Canis lupus familiaris: one gene and its partners. The protein of the gene in region 5 interacts with the protein of the main gene of each other region in a biochemical or structural test. Links are inferred from orthologs where the notes say so. Each region holds a gene or a part of one and is shown on either strand. Other genes may lie near its edges. The genes, in order: E2F1, MDC1, RHNO1, RAD9A, TOPBP1 and TICRR.

Region 1 (3,500 bases), on a different chromosome or scaffold from region 5:
TCCCAGGGTCCTGAGATGGAGACCCACACCCTGCTCAGCAGGAAGCCTGCTTCTCCCTCTCCCTCTGCCTGCTGCTCCCCCTGCTTGTGCTCTGTCAAATAAAGTCTTTCCAAAAAAATTAACAAGAATTAACAATCCTACTGAGGGTGACAGAGGGCATAAGAGCCATCACCTAAGAGGTGATGAGCTAAGAGGGATGGGCAACAGCTGGGAAGGGCACAGGGAACTTTCTGTGGTGCCGGACATGTTCTTTATCCTGATCTGGATGGTGACTCCCCAGACGAAGAAATACACGAGGGTGCGTTGAGCTGCGTATGTGAAATCTGTGGAAACTTCCTCAGAGAAGCCACCTCCCCCTCCGAGCCTCAGTTTCCCCAGCTAGACGATGAGGATGCGGACAGCCACGGTGGGGATCACTATCAGCTCCTCCATGCTGGCCTGGCCCCAGGCCTTAGCCTCCGCCTGCCCTCCTGAAGGGCTGGTACCTACAGCCACTGGATGTGGTTCTTAGACTTCTTGGCAATGAGCTGGATGCCCTCGAGGACGTTGGTGATGTCATAGATGCGCCGTTTCTGCACCTTCAACACCTCAGCCGCCCAGTTCAGATCAACAACGCCATCAGCCGAGCGGCTCAGCAGCTCCAGGAAGCGTTTTGTGGTCAGATTCAGTGAGGTCTCATAGCGTGACTTCTCCCCTGGGGATTTCACACCTAGGGGTCCAGGCAAGGAGGGTTCCCTCAGTACCACCCCCACACCTAGGTGGGCTAGCCTTCCTGGCAGTGCAGGACAGGGCCGAAAGATGGGAGTGGGATGGGCAGATGGCTCCTTCCCCTTGGCAAAACCAACCATGAGGGCCTGGGGCTGCTGCCTGCCAACCACGAGACATTCCTCTTCTGGCTGGGGAACTCCCCACCCCCCAGGGCCTGGGGAAGCCATGCCAGGCAGCCACTCCAGCTGCCCCTCAGGGCCCCCAGAGGCCTGGCTCCAGTCCAGGCCTGACAGATCAGAGTTTACTCTGCAAGCATGTTTGTCCACACCCCCAACTTGGGCCCGGTCAGGGGGCCTGCCCCAGCCCCAGCTCTGTGGGTACCTTTTCCTGGGTGGCGGCCTCTGCCCCGGGCTGGCCCACTGCTCTCAGCCAGGTACTGATGGTCAGTTTCCAGGTCCAACCTCCGCTTTACCTGTGGCAGAAACAATGGGATGATATTTAATAACCAGGAGCGAGGCCACAAAGACTGGGCTCTGGGCTTGGTGCTCCTGGGTCACCCCTGCCCCACTTTCTCTATCATGTCGCCTATGTGTATGAGGGATGGGGAGATCCCAGGGGACACAGTCCTACCGCACAGGACAGATCAGTCAACCATGGGGCGCAGAAGACCTGAGTTTAAGTTCTAGCTCCACCAGTATTTCCCTGGGTGCCTATGGCAGTTTTAAAATCTGTCTGCAAATTTGATACTCTCCCTTTCAAAAAAGCAAAACAAAACAAAACAAAACAAAACAAAAAAATAGAGCCTAATTCTCCTCCCCTTAAATATGGACCAGATCTGGTAACTTGCTTCTCAAGAGCAGTAGGATGGAAGTGATGACAAGTCACTTCTCAGACTGGGTCAGAGCTGCACTGGAGCTTCCTCCTTGTTTTCTATAATGGACCACTCACTCTGGGGAGAGCCACTGCCATGTCACGCAAGCCTGAGTGGCAAGGCATTGAGGCCTTGTCCAGTAGCAACATCAGTCTTAGAAACAAGTCCTTCAACCCTGGTCACGCCTTCTGATGACTGCAGCCTCGCCCAACATTTTGGCTTACGATCTCAGCAGAGATCCTGCGCCAGAAGCACTGAGCAGTCTCCTCTGAATTCCTGCCCCACCAAAATCTGTGTGATAATAATTGTTTGTTATTGGGGTTTATTTTTTTTTTTTAAGATTTTATTTTATTTACTCATGAGAGATACAGAGCGAGAGAGAGGCAGAGACACAGGCAGAGGAAGAAGCAGGCTCCATGCAGGGAGCCTGACATGGGACTCGATCCCAGGTCTCCAGGATCACGCCCTGGGCTGCAGGCGGCGCTAAACCGCTGACGCCACGGGGGCTACCCTTTTTTATTGTTTTTAATTTCAATGCCAGTATATTAACACACAGTGCTGTATTAAGGACTTGTTGTTTTAAGCCATTAGGATACAGGTCCCTTGGGCAAGTTACCTTCTCTCTCTGGATTCTGTGAACATGGTGGCAGCTAGTACTCACCACGTTTTGCACGTTAGTTCATTCCGTCCTATGGACTAGCAGCACAATAATGGCTCCACTTTATGGATAAAGTAACTGAAGCCCAGAGAGGCCCAAGTCAGACAGCCAGGAAGCAGCCAAGCCAGGATTCCTGTCCAGAACACCCTCTTAGTCACACACACGGGAGGATGGAGACTGCCCCAGAATATCTCAGGCATCTCAGGCCCATCCTGACCCACCCCAGTCCTCCCCCACCCACGGGGTTTCCCAAGCTAGACCCTCACTGGGCAGCCATCTGGTAGCCTTTGAGAAACCTCTCGCCACAGCCACTATCTCCTCCCATTTGGACCACTCAGCCAACTCCCTGCCTCCACCTATCCTTCTCCACCCTAGTGCCCTCCTCTGCCACTTCTCCACGTAAACTTCTGCTCAGACGTGTTTTCTCACAAACTTGTGCCTCCAAGTGTTAGCCTGAGCCGTTTCCCTCCCATGAATGCCCCACCTGCCTTCACACCAACTCTTACACCTCTGCGGGAAGGCACCTTACTCCTTACTTAGGTCTTCTCATCCTGCAAGAGACCAGGCCAAAATGCCTCAAACCTGACCTTTCCCCACAATATCTCTTGCAACCAACTTCTGGAGATGTATTTGTCTCACCCAGAAGGCAGTGCCCCGAGGCAGGCGCTGGACCGGAATTATGGAATCATCACTGTTCGCAGGGCCTGGTGTTAACTCCCGTCTGCTGTGTGAACCTCTGCACGTGCCAACGAGCCCTCACTCTCATCGCACACTCATGGATGCCCTCAGGTGCCCCGGGGATAGAAGTGCTCACACATGTCGAGTGTCTCTTGTGTACCGAGCCCTGCTAAATAATGGCTTTACCTGCATCCAGTCATCAAACCCTCTGCCCAGACCTTGCAACAGATGCCATGATGACCTCTACTTTCCAAGAGGCCTGACAATGAGAGATAGGGCCAGGATGTGAGCCCTAATGGGCTGACCCAGAGCCCATATTCCTACCTACTACGTGTCCTGCTTCCCTGCAGCTTCGTCCAGAGACCAGCCCCCAAAAGCCATGTGTGTCTCCTCTCCGGCCTTACCCCTTAGGCCTGAACCTAGCATCCTCCTGCCAATTGCACCCCTCATCTCCCTGCTCCTCAGGCCCATGCCCACCGTGATGACAGGTCAATGCCACACCCTAAAGCAAGGGCTCAAGCAGGTCTCCATTTCAGCCACCACACTCTAGAGCTTGGCACAGGAACCTAAAAAGGCAGAGGTGAA
Region 2 (3,974 bases), on a different chromosome or scaffold from region 5:
GGGAGGACCGAGGAAGGCTCTCTGGCCGCGGCCGACGCCTCGGCGACGACTGTGGCCGGCCCCTCTATCCACCGACGGAGCCAGACTCTGTGGTCGCGGTTCGGAAATCTGCGCGGGAAGTGGGCGGTGCGTGGTGCGGCGGTGCCGCGCTGTGCCTTGGAGCTGCCCAATCGCGGCGCGCCATTCAGTGCGCGCACGGCAGCCTCGGGTGACCGCCTCACTTAACCGATTTCAGGCGCCCAGGAAGACCTGCCCCTTTGAGCTGCTGAGGGGGCGGGGCGGGGCGGGGCGGGGCGGGGCGGGACCTTGGCGGCGCCCCCCGGTTGGGCGCTTCCTCAGTCGTCGGTCGTGAGAGACAGCAGCAGAAGCCAATCAAAGGGCCGGCGCCCTCTCGGCGCGAGCTCCCGCGCGCCGGGTCGCGGCCGTTACTGGCGGCGCGCGGGGACTCGCAGTGGGTGAGTTCTGGGGGCCGCGCCCACCGCTCGCGGGAGCCATCTTGATCCTCCCGTAGGGCGGGAGGGGCGTGCCCTGCCGCGCCGGGGCGGACGGCACTTGCCGGTTGGTTTCTCGGATTGTAGTATTCAGCCTTACTTGACGCCCCGCCCCGAGGTTAGGTATGAAGATGGGGAGACGTGGGGCCCGGCGGGAAGCCCCTGGGGTGGAGATGAAAGATGGTGGCGCCCCGGATGGAGCCGCGGGGCCTGGGCTCCCGTTGAGTTCCTGCCTGCGGGACGGAGTCAGCTCTCCCCGGGGACGACGCCTGCTTTCCCTGTCAGCAGTTAGTCTCTAAGGGAATTCCACCCTCACCGTTTTGAGTTTTCATCACCTTTCATTTGTCCTTTCGCAGGACGGTGGGGTTAATTTTGTTTGTTTTGTGACTGTATTCCGAGCTCCTTGAACAGTTCCAGGTGCTCAGTAGGTATTCTTGAATGAATATGATGTGACCTAGGGGAAGAGACACAGTTTGCGAAGGCAGAAATGGAAAGTAATGGTTGCAATATGGTGAGAAGTGTTAGGGGAAATAAAAGTTCTCCGACCACGGGGGGCATGTGGGGACACCAAGAACAGAAAGCAAGGACGCCTCCAGGAAAGGCCTTACTGAGGAGGCGACATTTGGACTGAACCATAAATCATGGGTAGGAGTTGGACCAGAAAACTAGGAGCTAAGGGCCAAGGAACTGACCAAGGCATGCAGGTATGGGGAACCACAGGAGCAGTGTGTTCAGTTTGGGGAGAGCAGGTCCATGTGGCTGAACCATAGGCTTTGGCAGAGGGAAGCAGGCCCTGAGGTGCAGATCATGGAGGATCTTGCTAAAGAGTTGAGATTTTATTTCATCCTGTGGGCATGGAAAGCCATGAAGTATTAAACAGAGGACAGAAAATACCTTGTTTACCTTGGGCAAGTTCCTTAACCCGCCTATGTTGCAGTTGCTTAGTCTGATAGAGTAATAATAATAGTTTAAAACATTTTTATGAGGATTAAGTGAGTGTCAGTATAAACTAGAGTAATGCTTCATACAGAACAAGCCTCTATGTACCTCGGTTGTTAGGATTCTCGGCAGTTAGTTGATCACATTGAGATGTTCTGCTAAAGTATAAAAAGCATGCGGTTTGCCTCCAGAAGCACATTTGTTCCTATCCTTTCCACCTACCTGCTATGTTACCCTAAGCAAGTCATTTAATGTTTTAGCCTTAATTTTTGAGGTTTTATTTATTTATTCATGAGAGACAGAGAGAGGCAGAGACATAGGCAGAGGGAGAAGTAGGCTCCATTCAAGGAGACCGACGTGGGACTTGATCCCTGAACTGGGATCATGCCCTGAGCTGAAGGCAGACGCGCAATTGCTGAGCTACCCAGGTGTCCCTTAGCCTTACTTTTTTAAATGCCTGCCTCATATGTCCATGGTGCCTAACACATAACACAATGCTGAGCACATAGTTGATGCTTGGCAAAGTTTAGCTCTCTCTAAAATATTTTTTTCAGGCTGTGGGTTCCAAACCAGTAAGTGGATGGTGAAATCAATTTAGCAGGTTGCAGATCAGCATTTAAACAATAGTGGATGGGAAAAAAAAAATGAAAACTATCAGTATATCATATACCATAAGGCTAAGCATTGTTTTTTCTCAGAATGTTTGTCTCTTTATACATAAGCACATGCATTTGTAGTATGTGTACTTGGGATCTCATACTGTTTATTCCCACCCCCGTAATATTTATTTATTATTATAGACACAAATGTTTTTTAAATAGTTCAGAAGGATAATAACAGGTTGGTTGTCAGAAGGAGACATGTCGGGACACCTGGGTGGCTAAGCAGTTGAGCCCCTGCCTTCCACCCAGGTCGTGATCCTGGGGTCCCGGGATGGAGTCCCACATTTTATTTTGGGATTTTATTTATTTATTCATGAGAGACACAGAGAGAGGCAGAAGGAGAAGCAGGCTGCCTGCAGGGAGCCCGATGTGGGATGGGATCCTGGGACCCCAGAATCACCACCTGGGCCGAAGGCAGGCACCCAACCACTGAGCCATCCAGGTGTCCCAATAAATAAAATCTTAAAAAAAAGATAGGAGACATGTCAATCTCCTATAACTCTCCAGGGTTATCTCCAGTTATCAGCCTCCTCTCTGAGACTGCCCGAGGACCTGAGATGATAATGTGTTTACTTCCCAGGTCATGGAGGACACCCAGGCTATCAACTGGGAGATTGAAGAAGAGGAGGAGACAGAGAGACCCAGTGAAGCCTTGGGGCGTGGCTTAGAGCCTGTAGGGCGGTTGCATATCTTCAGTAGTGCCCATGGACCAGAAAAAGGTCAGTTTCTTGGATGATAAAGTACTGGTATAGGCCTCTTATTTTTATGGGGAGGTAGTTGGACGGTTGTAAGCATCTTTTATATGTCTCGAGGAGATCTGAGTTTTTCACTGGGAATGCAGAGGAGGGGCTGATTGAGTTGATTGCTCCTGGCAAGTACCCTGGACTCAATGGGCTCAATTTTACTTTGGTAGGAGAAGATGAAGAGATTCAGATGGAAATCCAGCATGGTCTGGAAATGAATGGTGGTGATGGTTGCACAACAATGTGACTGTACTTAATGCTACTAAACTGTACACTTAAAAATGGTTAAATGGTAAATTTTATGTATATTTTACTGCAGTAGAAAAAATCCAGTGTGGATGGATGGGGTATTGACAATGAATAATGCATTGCTTATATTCTTCAATACTTATACGTCCTACCGTCTTTTATTTTTCTTATGTGTGTGGGGACTTTGAGTTAGTAGTGGGGTACTTACTTAACAGGAATATTTTCCCGATAGCAGGCCAAGACTCAGGCCTTAACCTATCTATCTCTCTAATTCTTAGATTTTCCCCTGTATCTTGGGAAGAATATGGTAGGCCGAATGCCTGATTGCTCTGTGACCCTGCCCTTTTCATCCATCTCCAAACAACATGCAGTCATTGAAATCTTGGCCTGGGACAAGGCACCTGTCCTCCAAGATTGTGGCAGCCTCAATGGTACTCAAGTCCTAAGGCCTCCTAAGGTCCTAAGCCCAGGGGTGAGTCATCGGCTGAGGGACCAGGAGTTGATTCTCTTTGCTGACTTGCCCTGCCAGTACCATCGCCTGAATGTCCCCCTGCCCTTTGTTTCCCGGGGCCCTCTAACTGTAGAAGAGACACCCAGGGTACAGGGAGGAACTCAACCCCAGGGGCTCCTGTTGGCTGAGGACTCGGAGGAGGAAGTAGGTATGTTTGTATATTGGGAGGGTGGGTGAGAAGATGGGGATGGTGAGTATAGAACAGTCAACTAACTTAATTCCTTTTTACTCTTAGATTCTCCTTCTGAAAGGTGTGTGGTGAAAGAACCAAGGACCTCCCCTTTGGCAGCAGTAGTTCCAGAGAGGTAAGTGCCAAAGGGCCAGACACTTACATCTTTAAAAGGAGGAGGAACCAGGGACTGTAGAATCTATCTGCAAG
Region 3 (4,284 bases), on a different chromosome or scaffold from region 5:
CCACCTTCATCGTATATTCTCGTATTTCATAGTTTGTAAGACTTTTAAAAGATAGAAAATGAGGATCCGTACCAGCCTATGGCTTGATTTAGTCACGATCTTGTGTCCCGCCTGGTGGGTGGGGTGAATGTTAAGGCCCAGAGAGCTTCCTCTCACTGCACCCCTGCTTCCCTTTCAGGTGCTACTAGCTGAGGAGGGGGTGGCCCCTCTGCCGGCCACAGGGCCCCTGCAAGAGGACAAACTCCCGCTCGGAGAAGGGCTGTCTCCTCTGCTTCCAGTTCAGTCCATCAAGGAGGAAGAACCCCAGCCTGGGGAGGAGACGCTACACTTGGGGAGGCCCATCAAAGTGGAGAGCCCGCCCTTGGAGGAGTGGCCCTCGCCGTGCCCGTCAATCAAAGAGGAATCCTCTCATTCCTGGGAGGACTCCTCCCACTCTCCCACGCCAAGGCCCAAGAGGTCCTACAGCGGGCTCAAGTCCCCAGCCCGGTGTGTCTCAGAAATGCTTGTGATTAAACGGAGGGAGGGGCGGGAGATGAGCCGGTCTCGAAGGAAACAGCACCTCCTGCCTCCTTGCCTGGATGAGCCGGAGCCCGAGCTGCTCTTCTCCCAGGGCCCCGGGGCTTCCCAGCGAGCCACCGAGCTTACTTTGCCCACAGAGTCCTCTGAGCCTGCCTCCCGGCTTGGCTACTCCCAAGAGGAGGGAGGACCTTTTAAGACGCCCATTAAGGAGACGCTGCCCATCTCTTCCACTCCAAGCAAATCTGTCCTCCCCGCGACCCCCGAATCCTGGAGGCTCACACCCCCAGCCAAAGTAGGGGGGCTAGAGTTCAGCCCAGTACACCACCCCCAGGCTGCCTTCGGCCCCCTGCCTGATGCCCTGGGGCTGACGGATTTTAGCACCACCCCCCTGAAAAGCATTCCCCTCTTTGACTCGCCCAGAGAGCTCCTCAGTTCTGAGCCCTTTGACCTCACCTCTGACCCCTTCAGCACTTCCTCCCCCTCAGATATGGAAGTCCCCAAGCCAGACTCCCCTGGGCCAGAGGCTGCCAGCCTCTCAGCCAACCGCTCTCTGACAGAAGGCCTGGTTCTGGACACGATGAATGACAGCCTCAGCAAGATCCTGCTGGACATCAGCTTTCCTGGCCTGGAGGAGGACCCTCTGGGCCCGGACAGCATCAACTGGGCTCAGTTCATTCCTGAGCTACGGTAGAGGCCTACCTTACCCTTGCTGCCTGAGCTGTCCATGCTTCCAGGATCTCGGGTGGCTGGGCCATCCGAGGACAGCAGGCAGGGACCGTCCGCCCCTCTAGCTCCACTTTGCCTGCTTATGCCAAGACGGACATCATGCCGTGGCCACTACTGAGCCCTCTGCAAGCAGCAAGGTCCTGGTGACCGGTCACTGTGCCACCACTGCTCCCCAAAAGAATCCGGTTCCTCACTCTCCCTGCTAGGAGCTAAGGGTTGGGAATGGCAAAAGCAAGGGTGAAAAGAGATTAGGAACTCCTCGGACTGCTTACACCTGTGCCCAGGAGTCCCCCACTTTTCCTGATCCTTGCAGGGCAGCCCTTGTAAATAGTGTATATTCTCCAAATTATCCTCTAATTATAAATGTAAGCTTATTTCCTTAGATCATTATCTAGAGACTGCCAGAAAGGTGGGTAGGATGACAAGGGGTTTGTTTGCTCCTGTTCCTTGCTTTCAATTCCTAGAGAAGGGAGGACGCGCAGTGTACGGTTTCTTCCAGGCCCAGGGCACCTGCCTTCAGGGCTCTTTACTGTAGACAAGCAGATCTGCTTCCTAGGGTCCTGCTTATTGTCCCCCTCCCTTCCCACCTTCCCATGTTTCCAAGTCAGCTTTCCTGCAAGAAGAAATCCTGACAAAAAAAGGTCTTTTGTCAAGGGTCAAGAGTTGAATTGGGGGTGGGGGAATGGATGCATCTGAAGCAAAGAATGCAGGTGCCCAGATGTGCTCCCCTGAGATGTTTCTCTGATAACGTCCCTAATCATGCCAGAGAGACGAGCCATTTGCCAAGAACTTGGCCCAAGGCTTGAGAAGACTGAAAGGGCCCTGCCCTGCCTAACTTCCTTAGCTCACACCTCAGCTTTGCTAAGAGCCACCTGAGGCCCCAGCTGACCGCATGCATGTGAGCCAGCTCGAGAACACTACCATAACTGTCAATAAAATCCAGGGTGGAAGTGCTCTCTGTGGTGTGTTGGTGTCTGGTCCCTGAGGCATAAGGAGGGGTTGGGGAAGAACATGGGAGATGGAGATGGTGGTGACAGGGAATTGGTAAGGCCTGAAGCCAACACAAAGCACATGAAGGGGAGTGCTCAGGGCATTGGCCTGGGCTGCCTCCCACATCCTATGCAGGCACACATCAGAAACTGGCAGGTTTCCCAGGCTGGTCCTGCATGGCCAGCCTCTTCAGAACCACTGAACCTAATGGTTAACTTGGCCCTTTGGTTCTCCCTATAAGGGAAAGACCTACAGAGGGGTAGGGCCCTGCCCTTCTGGAGAGTAAGGAAAGATGGGCCCAGTTATAGGCACCTCATGATCATGTCCACCCCAACCCAGGGCCTGGAAGCCAGCCTACCCTGCTTTTCTCTTCCTGCCCTCCTAGGCAAGTCCCTCCCCAAAAACCCCTCTGGCTACCATCTACACATAAGTCCTATCCCCTGCCTGTCTCACCTGAAAGGCAGCCAGGCCCCAAAGGATTGATGAGTCCTCCCAGGGAGAGGTAAGGGCCTCCTCCTGCGTCACCATCCAGGAAGCATCACCATAGCAACCCCAACAGCAAACAATGCTGCCAGGGAAAGTCTTCCCTACCAAGCGGCCTCTCCTGACAATCAGGCCCACAGGTGGAATGGCCAGTAGCCCACCAAGACAACCCAGAGGGCGGCGTGTTCCGCCTCATGTCCAAAAACCTTTCTTGCAGGTAGGAGGTGGGGCCCTATCTCCACAGCCTATCTGTTTGCACACTGCTGGGCTAAGGACTGCCCCCCTGGGGTCAGGGGGTCAATAGATGTCTCTCAGTCCTGTGGTACTATGAACACAGAGCTCAGAACAGAGAAAAGGAGATGCCTGGTTATTACATCTCCCAGCCCCACCTCCTGGGGTGGTCACGTGGAAATGACAGCAGAGTGGGCCCAAGAGGCAGGTGAGTTTTTGTAGTCAATAAGGTCCTAAGGTGGAAAGAAGAGCATAGTCTCATGAGTAATACGGACAGATGGCTCAAGTCCCAGCTCTGCCACTCACAGACCTGGCAACCTCGGGTGAGTTCCTGACTCTCACCATGTCTTGCTTTTTGCATCGTTGAGATGAGACCGTAACAATGCTTGCTCCTAGGATTGTGAGGGTTAATTGAGTTGTGGACGTGTTTAGCACAGTTCCAATACCTACCTGGGCCCAGTTATAGGCACGGGCCCAGTTTATTTCACGGGAGGTGGGACAAAGGAAAGGGAAGAAACCAGCCTTCTAGATGTTTCCCCATACTTGGCTTGTGTTTGGACGAGAAGTGAGGGAAACGCACCCATGAGAGAGAAACGAGTAAGAGGACGAGTCCGGGAGAGAAGAACCCCTGGGCTGCATTCTCCGGAGAATGATTTTCCTTCTACGCCTCGCTCGGTAAGGGGCCTTTCCCCTCACAGTTTCCCTGGGCCCCCTGGGCCCTGTTCAGAGCCCCCACCCTGGCAGGAGCCCGAGGCAGCCAGAGTGCAGAGGAGGGACGAAAGTGAAAAGTGAGGAGCTGGGAGACCGGTGAGGAGGAGAGCAGGGTGGGAAATCCGAAAGCACAAGGTGAGAAACCCAGGGGGACCCTCCAGAGCAGACCGGACTTCTGACGGCAGGCCCAGCCCGCAGACGCCGTGGCCAGGCCCGGCCACCAGGGTCCCGACCAGAAGCCGGGGTGTGAGCGGGCCTGCAGCCTGGCCTCTCCGCAGCTGCTCCCGGGACGAAGGCAGGGCGCTCCCCAGGCTCCCTCTGGTCTCTCCCCAGATGGCCCAGGCCAGCGAGCCCCTCCTGACGTCCCAGACGCGGGCCCGGCGCGAGTTCCTCCTCCCTGGTGCGGCCCGGGCGTGGCCTGGCTTCACCCCGCAGGCCTACCGCCGGCTGGCTCTGAGGCTGCCGCCCTGCACCGCGCGCAAGGCCGAGGTGCGCCGCCGGCTGCTCCGCCCCGAGAAGGACGCGGCGCAGCACACCTGGGGCTTCCACACGTGGCTGGACGTGGGCCGCCTGCCCGCCGCCTTCCCCACCAGGCCCGACAGGCCCTACGATAGCAACGTGTGG
Region 4 (4,204 bases), on a different chromosome or scaffold from region 5:
TGCAAGGGATGGGGCAGACAAGAGCACAGCCCAGAGGAGGCAACAGAAAGCATGGAATGTTTGCACTGGGCCAAACCAGGCAAGCAGCACCTGCCCACCCAGGGGTGGGAAACCACACCCAGGCCATCCCTAGAAATTCAGCCTTCAGGAAAAAGGCCTTAAATCTCTGTCTTCTAGGAATACATGTTGACAAATATTTACATATGAAGTAACAATTGGAATTTGTCTCAAGACAATTGGAACCGGAGCAGATGGGAGCAGACATCCACTTTTATACATATTTGAAGAAAAACAAAGAAAGAAGAAAAACAATTGCTCATTAAAAAAAAATAATAATAAAGCTCCAAAATCCAGACCAGAGGTGATATCCTTTTCTCTTTCTCTACCCAAAGGAGTCCTAAGCAGCATTATCTCAACAGAACTCAGAAAAACAGACTCAGGACCCGAAGGAAACTTCAAATTATCATACCCTATGGCTACAAAAAGAAATGAACATTACCTTGGGTTACTCGGATGCAAGCAGCATCCAGCATGGGGTGGGAGGGGAGCCATCCCTCTCTACATTGGTCTTCTGCAGGAACCTTTGCCTCCTCTGTAGACTCCATCTCCCAGGCCCTGCATAGCCCTTAGGTGTGCTCTGATTTTCCCAGGACAGCCATACCCCCACAGCTGCTGATCCAGGTTGCCCTCCTGGAGCATGGCCTCCCTGTCCAGCCTCCTTCCTTGGCCTGTGGACTTCTCAAAGCTCCAGCCCAAGTAGATGGGAAGAGAGGCTGCCCTTGAATAGAGAACACTCCCAGAAAGATGACTACTCCAGAGAAGAATTTGGAGCCCCTGAGCCAGAAAGTGAAAGATGGACATTCAAGGCTCCTGAAGCCCAAGGAAGGGGACTTAAGGGCAAGCAAGAGACCTGCTTCCTAAAAGGGGAGTCAGAAGGGGTCCAAGTGGCCAGAAAGCCAAGCCAGATCTTTAGGGTGGAGAATGCAGGTTCCTGGACACAGTGAGGAGCACAGAGCAATGCCCTCCTCTATTCCAGCCTCTGCCCTTAAAGAGCCAGACCTGAGAGCAAACTGATCTGGACTAATTTTTTGAGGTTCACAGAAACTCTGTAGAGAAAATGAAGAAGGTGTCTTCTCAAATTGACCCTTGAAGCTCCAAAAAATAAAAAAAGACCCACATTCAGTCTGTATCCAGAGGGACACACTCACCGTGCTGGGGCACGGAGTACATGGGGGCACAAGGCTGGGTCGAAGACGGCCTGCAGGGACTCGCAGTCCTGGAAGGACAGGTTGTGAGTCTTCCTCACCCCTGGATGGGCAGATGGGGTCTCAGTGGGTTTTGCTAACCTCCACCCCTCCACCCCAGGGATTCCTCGGCCAGTCAGCTGCCCCCTCACCGTATTTGCAGTGTAGCTGGACCACCAGGCGGCTGCTCCTGCCATTCAGTGAGATGCAGCATTTCTCCACAGTCTTCTCCACCGTTGCCAGCGAGCGGAAGACAGCCAGGAACGACTGTGCAAGGGAAACCCATCAGCCCAGTGGCCTCCACCAACCAGCTTCCACATCCCATGTAGGCTCTGGCCATCCCAGGCTCAGCACTGTCACACTAGAGAGGGAGCTCCCACAACATGCAGAACACTTATGCTTTTCCAGGCCTTTCTCTGTTCATGCTATCACACCTGTCTGGGATGTCTTGAAAGATCTGCTTACTTTTCAATATCACCACTCTCTCCAGGTCCCTGGAAGGATCTATTACCCTCTCCCCAGCTCCCATTACCCTCTGTGGTGTCTCTACTGTACACCTCAATGCATTTTACATTGGTTTGCTCCTGCATACACCCCCCTCCCCAGTCAGGATCTTCTGAATGCCCCAGGGTGGACCCATTCCTGGTTGGGGGGGGGGGAACACCTCACCTTCATCAAGATCTTACAGCGCAGGGCTTCCTGACCAGAGGTGGTGGCCTGGTACTGCTGGAAGAAGAGTGGGGCAAAGAGGAAGCAGGCATAGGCAGAGCGAGAGGAGTTCACCGTCCGAAGAGAGAGCTGGGCCAGGAAGAGCAGGGAGAGGGATGCGGTCAGGGGGCAGAAACAGGCTCTGTCCTCTGTCTGGCTTCTGCTCACACCTGTCCTAATGTCCTCCTCCTCCACCGTCACCTGTTGAAATCCTCCCTCTCCTTCCAGTCAGCGACTGCCTTCTCCATGAAGCCTTCCCTGAGTCCCTGGTGGCAAGGGCCCTACACAACCGTCAGCACACACTGCCTTTTTTCCCTAGTTACCCGCCCCCCCCCCCCCAAACACACACAAGGCACTTCGGGGAGGGCAATGGCTCTCGATCCACACACCGGCCTGGGAAGATGACAGGACCCAACCTGACACCCCAACAACGGTGGGGGGGGGGGGAGCAACCTTGGCAGACAATTCTGCCCAAGGGCATCTAGCCTGACACGAGGTGAAGCTGGCTCCCGATTGTGACCCCCCTCACCCCGTCCTCCAGGGGCTCCAGGTAGAGCTCGTCCCCGATGCGGGACAGGGAATGGACGGCCTTGCCGAGCACTGCGGGGAAGAGAAGAGAAACGGGTTAGGCTGGCGTCTCCCGCGGTCCCACGTGCCCCCGCCCCCGGGGGCCCCGAACTCACCCTTCACGTTGCCGCCGGTGACCAGACACTTCATGCTGCCCCCAGCGCCGAGGTCGGGCCTGGCCTCCGACCGGGCTGGGTCTGGCGGCTGGTCCGCGCCGGGCCCTGCCCACCCCGCCCGCGGCTCGGGTCCGGGTCTCACCAGCCGCCGCCGAGCGGCCCGGCGTTCCCTTCCCGCGCACCGCCCCTCGGAAGCCCCGCCCCCGCCTTCTCATTGGTCCACACGCCGGCGCCTCCGTCACGTGAGAAAACGTCCGGCTGCTCCGCCGTCACGTGACGGGGTCCCCGGTGAGGGGCGGGCGGCGGTCACCGGAGCCGGGAGCGCGGGGCGCCGGCCGGCGTGGCGGGGCCTCGGCGGCTGCGCACCTGGACACCAAGAGCACGAAGTCCCCGGCGCGAGGCAGCGAGCACGTGTGCGGGCGAGCCCTCCTGGGCCGCTTCGTACCGGTCTTCCTGGGCGCCTGTCTGGACGTGGGGTCGAGCTGGAGCGTCCCGGGGACGCAGGCAGCAGCCACCAGCTCTAACGAGATGAAAGCAGTTTCCTGCAGGACTCCAGCGTGGGAGAGTGGCTGTTCGTTGTGGCTTCGAGGATCCGTCATTGACCCTTGGAGAACGGAAGATTCTGGGGGCTCAAAGGAGTAGAAGGGTGTACCTAGCAGGGGGAGCGGGAGGAAAGGGCATTGGTGCGTGGGCTTTGGCCCTCGTGGAGGGAACTGGCCTGTGAGCCTTGCAGAGGGATGAAGGCTGCCAAATGGTGGGGGACACCAGTGGGAAGCGCTGGAAACGTTATAAGAGGGAAGAGTCACGTTTATGGGGTCATTTTTAAAAAGCCTCCAGGACTGTGCAGAAGGGGGCGGTTCGTCAGGGAATTTTCCCCCTCGCCCTGGGCTCTGGGCTCCAAGTCTGCAAAGTGGAAGGGAAGTCCCTAAGGGATTTCCTGAACTCAAGCCCCCACAGCATCCAGGTTCTGTAGGGCCTTTCAGGGCCCTGGGCATCCCCACATTTCTTAGGACCTGCTTGGCCCTGCCCTTCTGGTATTGTCTGCAGTGAGGAGTGGTGTTTGTCTACCAGCCGTTTGCCCTCCAGCTCCTGGCCTGTGATTCCGGACCCCGCCCCCCGTGCCTCAGTGTCCGTGCCATCACCAGACTTCTCTAGAGCACTGGGTGAGGCTATTCTTGCCTTCCATGGGGGTCAGTGTAAATGGTCCCCCCTCAACCCAGGCATTTACACTGGGAGTCAGCCTAGACCCTCTCCATCACCCCAGGTATTGTAGTCCTTGTATAAGCCCTGACTGTCCCACCTTCCAAAGAGATGGCACACTCTTCCATCTCCACAGCCATCATCCTGGCTCGGGCCACCATCCTCTCTCACCTGAACGACTGTAGGAGCTGAATGGTCTCTTGCCTCCTGTCTTCTGCAGTCCGCTCTCCAAATGGCACCAAAGCGATCTTCCTAAAACGTCCTCCTGACGGACGTTCCCCCTGCTGGCTCCTTCTCTTCCTAGGGCACAGCTTTAGTTGCTGGTCCTCAGACAGGCCTTTTGTTCACCAGCCCCCACTGCCCATCACA
Region 5 (3,500 bases):
TACACTAAAAAGTTAAGGAGCCCAAGAGTCATTAAACAAAGCAGAGGGTCTAACGGTTAGGAATATAGGATTTGCAGTAGATAGCTATCTACTTAATGTTTGTGTGAATTTGAGTAAGAATTTTAATCTGCTAAACCTCAGCATCATATCCATTTTAGTTATTTGTGGGAATTAAATGAGATTATTTACAACATATTAACAATATATATGAATTGATTAGCACAGTCTAGCATCTTACAAACAATAAATGACAATTACGGACAGATGTGGCCTAATGCTTGCATCTGCTCCCCTAGAGTGAAAGGCTTATTTTATATGGATAAGGAGTAAGCCCAACTCTGAGGGGTCCTCAAAGTCAGACTAGGATCACTGCATATATAACATAATCAAGACATACCCGACAACCATCTAATAAATCTTCAGGTGCTTGAAATGCACTGACATCCAAATTTTCTAGATTTTCAAGGGTAGGCTCCACTTTGCTATTAAGCACTGAATTACACATTGATTCATTTATGCAACTTGCATTGATGTTGGAAATATGGCTGACATCTGAAAGAGTACGACCTACATATCAAAGATATGGAAATTTATGGAGATAAAATTGCGATTACCTATTTTCCTACTATTTTTCTTATACACAAAGAGCTGTGAACAATTTCCAAATTAAGCTTTAAATGGTTTAATTGAAATCTTGGTGGTCAAGTATCAAAGGAAATTGAAATAAATTAAAGTTCGTATATTATTCAAATAAAAATACACTTAATACATTTTAATAGTGGTTTGCTTCCATTAAAATTCTGAAGTTGCTGACTGTCGGGTCTGGGAAAGAAAAAAGTATAACACCTGCTAAATTGCCAATGTGGCACCTACAAAATCGAAATAGTTTTCAATTTTCTATGAATGCAGATGGTCTATAACAATTGTAGCAAAAATGTATTAACATTTGCCCACCAGTCAGGCTTGGAAAAATTTATTCTTTTAAGTCTTTATTAATACTCTTGATTTCCTTAATCATCTTTTGCATTAAATCAAGGTATGAAAGAAAATATTCATCTATTATAAAAGGAAATACCTGGAGTTCTAGACTAATTTTCATACAATTTAGTTATACAATTGTGCCTGGAAGCAGAGCAAGAAAGGATGGAATTCCCTACTATATCTCACTGATTCTATTTACAAATCAATTCTAACACAGAAAATGGTGGTTAAAAATGTCTACTTTAATCCCACTGAAACTTACTGTCAACTGTGTGGATCTGGCCAGTAGGAGTTGAAGTATCAGGCATAGTCTTTGTTTCTGGTCTAGGCTCTGTCTTGTATATGGATTCATCCTGACAAAAACCTTTGTCAACACTGTCAAAAAACCACTGTGTGGTCACACAGTGTACATTCCATCTCTTGGCACATTCATATTTTTGACCTATCATGTTCATTAGGAAACAGAAATGTAAAACATTAAATTCTATCTCTAGAAATATTCGAAGCATGATAGGTAATGGGGAAAAAAAAAAATCAACAAAATTAAAGTTACCAGTAATTAATCTTACACAAACAGTAGGCTATACAGTGTATGTGTGGGGGTATCTTTTAAGATTGCATAATTTATGTGGGATAATTGAAATATTAGACTTAGTTTGAGTATAGCCTCCACTGCTTAATTTCTTTAAACCAATTTCTTAATCTATAACATGGGAATAACTCACAGAATTATATGGCTTTATTTATTTATTTTTATTTTATATTTTATTTTTTTAATTATGTGGATTTAATAAGACTACTTAAAACAACTGTTAAGATTGTAAATGTCTGTAATATAAAAAAAATACCAGCTTTGAATAGACCACTCCAATGTCAATAGGATTCAACCTGAAGTCAAAATAAATAGGTATATAAGAAATATATCTTTATTGCCTTAAACAACTTCTAACACAATGTATTTTGAAAGAGTGTCCTAGAGAAACTGAGATCAATATGTAGTAAACAACAACACAAGAAGGATTTTTTTGGACATTGAGAGTTGATGAACAGACTTCAGATTTAGAAATTCAACAGTAGTTACCAACTCCACTCACAATTATAATGTCACAATTGGCCATACCCAAAAGTTTTGATTTAAGGACAATTACTAATTAATTTTAGCAGGGTTTATTTTTTTTTTCTAATTTTGTTATCCAGGTAGCTTAATAAAACACTATAAAGAGAACAAAAACATTAACAAAATTCTTACATCAATTTGTATATATTTTAAGGGTATTGGTGTAAAAAAACAAAACAAAACACAAACCCAAAACACCACTTCCAAAATAGATATAAAGGTCACAGGACACCAAAATTAAACACAATTTTAAGGAATTTTTATTGGTAGTGTTATTTTTTTTCTTTACCTGCCTCATGTTGGCAAGGCGTATCTTCAAGTTACAACTTGTAATTCATTCAATAAAGCTGATTAAAAACTAAGCCAAGCCTTTTTTTTTTTAAGCCAAGCCTTTTAAACTTATCATTAGAAAGATATGTAATTTAGCTACATCTATTAGCCTTTGTGTTATTCATCCAAATTTCTTGTTTTGTTTTTGGTAATTATATAGGAAACTTTTTTCCTTACAAAAAACATATCAAACAATAAAAACCACTGGAAACAGAAAAAAATACTTTTCAGAGACCTGGGCAAACCTGGATAGTCATGTAATTTTTCTAAAGATTGTGACCCAAACTATCTTTTTAAGACTTTAAGGGAGCAAAAATTACCAGATTTATAACATATCAGATAAAAAACCTATTCTGTAAAGATTTTTAATTTTAAATGCTATAGAAAATTTTCCGTTTTTTTCCATTTGGAAAACACAGTTTTTACCTTTTGGTTCTTGCACAATGAGGTGTGTACATTCATTCATTTTCAGTTGTCCCATATATTGACCTCCATGCTTAACTGTGAGTTGCTGAACTGCCTTCCTATCTAAGCTACACAACCCAGTCACACAGATTATGCAACCAAGAAAAATTGGGCACTTGAAGTCTTCCATGTTTACATCAGTATATCTAGATATTTTTCTGGGGAAAACAAAGGAAAAATTAACATATTAATACACTAGATTGTTTAAAACTTAGACGAATAATGACAAACAAAAGAAATCATTAATGCTTTCCTCATTTTTTTAGAAAAAAGGGAACTGACACTTAAAAAAAAATTACACTAATTGCTCATCTAGCTCAACCATGTCACTGGTAAAAAAAATATTTCAGATGGTTTCCCAAATAAAACTGTTTTAAGTAAAATGCATTTCATTAACTCTGTAAGTCCATGCTGGTCAAAGTGGTGTATTTTCCAATATTTTAATTGTGAATTTACTTAAAAACTCAAAGGATCTTGGTTACTTACTAGAAAAATGGACTTTTTATCCGTCCATTATATCAAATAAATAATAAGCAATGATTTTTGGCAGAATACTAACAAAAATATCATCATTCTTTTACCATGTAAGAGAGATGTGCTAGGAATG
Region 6 (3,929 bases), on a different chromosome or scaffold from region 5:
AGGACCCATTCCCTCAGATGGTAGAATGTGAGAACTGAAAGAGATCTTTAAAAAGATTCGGTCAATCTATTTATTGCAATGCTATTCCAAAAAGAGAAAAAGGAGAAAAATCTCCAAGCCCCATCTGCTAAGATTTATTTCTAGCCAGTTTCTGATATAATTCCAGAATAAAGTTTTTGGTGTGACTTGGTGTCAGTTATCCCAAATCAAGCAGTTAGGTCTTGTGTACTATGTCCAAAACTTGATTTGTTGCCTTAACAAATTTTAAGTTCTAGAATTCCATTTTCTCAAATGTTTACAATCACCTTGAAGACCTTTGTTCTTTTTCTTTGACAAGCCACTGCTGCCTTATTTTGGATTTACGATGTCTTTTTTGAGCTTTGTGTGTGAAAGCATGTTGGAAATTTTAACATTGTATTATCATTCTTTAGGTACCTGCTCATTTTCCATTTGTAATCTTGCAATTTAACCCACTCCTAGTTTAATGACATGTGTTTCCAATAAGTGGAAACACATGCCCACTTATTTGACCTGGTTAAGCCACTGCCCAGCAATTAGAAGAAACTGCGCACTTTTACTGTCTAGAAAAGGACATGTGCTTTCTGAAACAAACTAAGCTTATTTCCAGTTCAAATTTTTATACCTGCTCTTTGCCTGGAATGTTCTTTCCCAACCTTCCTGTTCCTCCTCTGTCACCTCCTCTGCTCATAGAGCACTCCCGACCCTTTATACAACAGTCCCCCACCCTTCTACCTTTTCCTGCTCACCTGTTTATTCTTATCTGTTTAATGTATCTTCCTCACTAGAAGGTAAACCACCTCAGCTGACCACCACACCCCTCCACAGCTCTAACAGTATAGTGGGCACTGGATGTAATGGCTTCTCAATGATTTTTTTTTCTAAGATTTTATTTATTTATACTTGAGAGATACAGAGAGAGGCAGAGACATAGGCAGAGGGAGAAGCAGGCTCCCTGCAAGTAGCCCCATTTGGCACTCGAGCCCAGGACCCCAGGATCACCACCTGAGCTGAAGGCAGACACTCAACCACTGAGCCACCCAGGCGTCCCTCTCAATGACTATTTGTTCACTAAATGAAGATGACAGAAGGAAAATGCTAAGGGTAAAAGTACATATTTATCTCTGTGTATTTAACGGAAGCAGAGGTCCTACTGGCTCAATAAAGATCCAAATGAGCCATTTACCATTGTAAGTACCCAAATTCATTCCACTTACAATGTTCAGCGACATGCATCTGCAGGGAATACAAAGGTGTGTGTGTGTACCTGCCTTTGAGGTATTTTAGACTAAATGAAAGGCGATTTGCACAATTGGAACCTATAACCCGGAAAGGGTAGGTGCCACAAAAGTGCATGGAAATTCAGTTGAGGCTGAGTAGTTGCCACGGGGCAAGGCTAGAGAGGAGTTTAAACAGGCATAGCAGAGTGAGCGCTGGCATTCAGGGTGACTGGTAAGACAGAACAAGCAGTCAAGATTTGTTGAACGACTAGAGGATGCTTCAATAATATGCTGGAGGGGGAATCCCTGGGTGGCTCAGCGGTTTAGCACCTGCCTTCAGCCCAGGGCGTGATCCTGGAGTCCCGGGATCGAATCCTCCTTCGGGCTCCCTGCATGGAGCCTGCTTTTTTCTCTCTTTCTCTCTCTCTCATGAATACAATCTTAAAATAATAATAACAACAACAATAATAATAATAATAATAATAATATGCTGGAGGATTCGTAGGAAAAGTAGAACCGGGGAAGGCAGACAGGACCCAAATAATAATAATAATAATAATATGCTGGAGGATTCGTAGGAAAAGTAGAACCGGGGAAGGCAGACAGGACCCAAATTATGAAGGACCTTAAATGCTGACCTTAGGATGTACCAAGGATCTACTTACCTATCGTCCCAGTTCGTAATCACAGGACTCTCCTTCTGAAGGAGACACATGCTGGTCGTGCTAGTCTCGTTCTGGGTCTCCCCGCCTCTGCGGAGACACCGCCAGGTCCCGGTCAGCCAGCAGGACACCGCGCGCCAAGTCAGAGCTCACCGCGAACTTACCTTAGGCCACTCGGTGGTATCCAGCCAGTACAAGGTGATTTTTCGGGCGATCATGACTTCCTGGACTCTCTTGGGCAGCAGCTTCTCCATCACCTGCCTCGGGGGAGGCGGCAGGCGCTGGGCCTGGGCCTCGCAGCCGGACACGAACTGCAGCAGCTCCCTCTGCGAATGCGGACAGGGAGCCAGCAGGAAGACCGCGTTCACGAAGCCCCCGAGCGCAGCCTCGGCCTCCCTGGCCTCGCCCTCCACGTCCAGCAGTCTCCTCCCGCTGCTGCGAAGGATCGGCTTCGTGGGCGACGTGATCTCGGGCCGGTCCCACTGGTAGTCCAGCAGCGTCTCCATCAGGGCGCCGTGCGTGTGGCTGGCCCTGGGCGCGGGGCCCGGCAGGTGGGCGCCGTGGGCGCCGGCCCCGAGCCTGGCGTCCAGCTCCTCCTCGAAGTCCTCCCAGGAGCGGGCCCCCAGTTCACGGAAGTCAGACACGCGGGACTGCCGGCCCCGCGCCCCCTGAGAGTCGAAGAACTTGAAGGCCCAGCGGACCCTGGCCAGGCCGAACCGGCAACTCAGGTAGGTGAGGAGGCGCAGGGCTGCCCGCCGGACTGAGCTCCGGCCGGCGGCACCGCCCGCGGTGTCCAGCAGCAGCATCACGTTGTGACAGCAGGCCATGGCGCCCGCGCCGCAGCCCCGGAGCTCCAGCCGCGGGCCTCGCTTCAGAGAACCAGCGCCATTCACCGCTTCCCTCAGGAGCTGCGGTGGAAAAGCTCCCGCGCTCTCCGAGTGCTCCTGCCATTGGCGGAGCCCTCCCCCAAAATCAGCTCCTATTGGTCGCTTGCCTTACGTACCTTACGTGAGTAACTTCCATCCTGGGCGCTGATTGGAAGGGAGACGGAGAAGCCCTCTGCCTAATTGGCGGAGGGCGTGGCCGTGAGCGGGGCCCCGTGTTCCGGGAGAAACTTCACATTCATTGGCTGAGGCCTTCGTTTTAAAATTTAAAGAGGTTGTGCTTCGGGGGCGTGTCCTTAAGTTTCCCTTTTGGGCTGGAGGCCGGCGTTTGGGCGATTGTGCGCAGGCGCGGGTGCGGGCTGCTGGGAGGAGTTTACTAAGTTTGCAAACTTGGTAGTGGGAGGGAATTGGATGGAGAAGGTCTGATTCAGACTGGGATGAAGCCACCCCAGGCTTTCTATGGAGTAGAATCTGATGATAAAGACTTCCGTTTTCTGTGATTTAAGAAAAAAGTCTTAACAAGTTCATTTCCTTTGTCCCAATGATTTCAAGGAGTTTCTCTGAAGAAGATAATTAGATACAAATGAAAGACGTATGTTTATCAGAGTCAGCTAACTTGAGAAAAATTGGAAAACAGCTCAAATGGGAACTGGCAATGGTTAATGCATGGTACACCCTAAAGGGAAGGAACATCCTGTAGCTTTTTATATGTAATAGTAGATTTAAAAAAAAAAAAAAAAAAGGACTACCAAACTGCATGCAGTGAGAACCCTGGATTTTCTATGTGAATATTTTTATTATTTTTTAAAGATTTTATTAATTTATTCATAAGAGGCACAGAGAGAGGCAGAGACACGAACAGAGGGAGAAGCAGACTTCTCGAAGGGAGCCCCCATGGGGGACTGGATCCCAAGACCCCAGGATCATGCCCTGAGCAGAAGGCAGATGTTCAACCGCTGAACCACCTAGGCATCCCTATGTGTATATTTTTAAACTGTTAAGATAAAACTGTACAGAAAGTTGTCTGTCATGGTTTCTGGGTGATGACATTATGCTGATTTACTTTTTAAAATTATATTACTCTTTCCTAAATTGTCTATAATTTTGTATTTCCTTGTTACTTTTATAGTAGCGGGGAATATACT

Evidence for each region.
Region 1: the proteins of TOPBP1 (region 5) and E2F1 form a complex in vitro, tested with the Homo sapiens proteins (4 studies listed by BioGRID and IntAct). The link is inferred for Canis lupus familiaris from reciprocal best matches to the Homo sapiens genes TOPBP1 and E2F1.
Region 2: the proteins of TOPBP1 (region 5) and MDC1 are reported together in a solved structure, tested with the Homo sapiens proteins (3 studies listed by BioGRID, with this or other methods). The link is inferred for Canis lupus familiaris from reciprocal best matches to the Homo sapiens genes TOPBP1 and MDC1.
Region 3: the proteins of TOPBP1 (region 5) and RHNO1 form a complex in vitro, tested with the Homo sapiens proteins (2 studies listed by BioGRID). The link is inferred for Canis lupus familiaris from reciprocal best matches to the Homo sapiens genes TOPBP1 and RHNO1.
Region 4: the proteins of TOPBP1 (region 5) and RAD9A form a complex in vitro, tested with the Homo sapiens proteins (4 studies listed by BioGRID). The link is inferred for Canis lupus familiaris from reciprocal best matches to the Homo sapiens genes TOPBP1 and RAD9A.
Region 6: the proteins of TOPBP1 (region 5) and TICRR form a complex in vitro, tested with the Homo sapiens proteins (2 studies listed by BioGRID). The link is inferred for Canis lupus familiaris from reciprocal best matches to the Homo sapiens genes TOPBP1 and TICRR.

Annotation. Positions count from the first base shown.
Region 1 is NC_049245.1:23,402,024-23,405,523, forward strand, and holds part of E2F1 (transcription factor E2F1), read right to left. Parts: intron 1,181-3,500; coding exon 1,090-1,180; intron 710-1,089; coding exon 490-709; intron 1-489. UniProt on the Homo sapiens protein: Transcription activator that binds DNA cooperatively with DP proteins through the E2 recognition site, 5'-TTTC[CG]CGC-3' found in the promoter region of a number of genes whose products are involved in cell cycle regulation or in DNA replication.
Region 2 is NC_049233.1:644,695-648,668, reverse strand, and holds the start of MDC1 (mediator of DNA damage checkpoint protein 1), read left to right. Parts: upstream 1-1,174; 5' UTR 1,175-1,189; coding exon 1,190-1,195; intron 1,196-2,672; coding exon 2,673-2,811; intron 2,812-3,362; coding exon 3,363-3,743; intron 3,744-3,830; coding exon 3,831-3,900; intron 3,901-3,974. UniProt on the Homo sapiens protein: Histone reader protein required for checkpoint-mediated cell cycle arrest in response to DNA damage within both the S phase and G2/M phases of the cell cycle.
Region 3 is NC_049248.1:4,136,168-4,140,451, reverse strand, and holds the start of RHNO1 (RAD9, HUS1, RAD1-interacting nuclear orphan protein 1), read right to left. Parts: upstream 2,801-4,284; 5' UTR 2,689-2,800; intron 2,201-2,688; exon of another isoform or gene 1,211-2,200; coding exon of another isoform or gene 179-1,210; intron 1-178. Other genes in the region: FOXM1 (forkhead box protein M1), read left to right, coding at 179-1,210; TEX52 (testis-expressed protein 52), read left to right, coding at 3,078-3,157, 3,516-3,624, 3,994-4,284. UniProt on the Homo sapiens protein: Involved in microhomology-mediated end-joining (MMEJ) DNA repair by promoting recruitment of polymerase theta (POLQ) to DNA damage sites during mitosis.
Region 4 is NC_049239.1:50,572,299-50,576,502, forward strand, and holds the start of RAD9A (cell cycle checkpoint control protein RAD9A), read right to left. Parts: upstream 2,801-4,204; 5' UTR 2,670-2,800; coding exon 2,636-2,669; intron 2,553-2,635; coding exon 2,482-2,552; intron 2,043-2,481; coding exon 1,914-2,042; intron 1,512-1,913; coding exon 1,397-1,511; intron 1,309-1,396; coding exon 1,209-1,308; intron 1-1,208. UniProt on the Homo sapiens protein: Component of the 9-1-1 cell-cycle checkpoint response complex that plays a major role in DNA repair. The 9-1-1 complex is recruited to DNA lesion upon damage by the RAD17-replication factor C (RFC) clamp loader complex.
Region 5 is NC_049244.1:31,088,102-31,091,601, forward strand, and holds part of TOPBP1 (DNA topoisomerase 2-binding protein 1), read right to left. Parts: intron 3,052-3,500; coding exon 2,855-3,051; intron 1,424-2,854; coding exon 1,244-1,423; intron 568-1,243; coding exon 398-567; intron 1-397. UniProt on the Homo sapiens protein: Scaffold protein that acts as a key protein-protein adapter in DNA replication and DNA repair. Composed of multiple BRCT domains, which specifically recognize and bind phosphorylated proteins, bringing proteins together into functional combinations.
Region 6 is NC_049224.1:53,071,994-53,075,922, reverse strand, and holds the start of TICRR (treslin), read right to left. Parts: upstream 2,801-3,929; 5' UTR 2,728-2,800; coding exon 2,065-2,727; intron 1-2,064.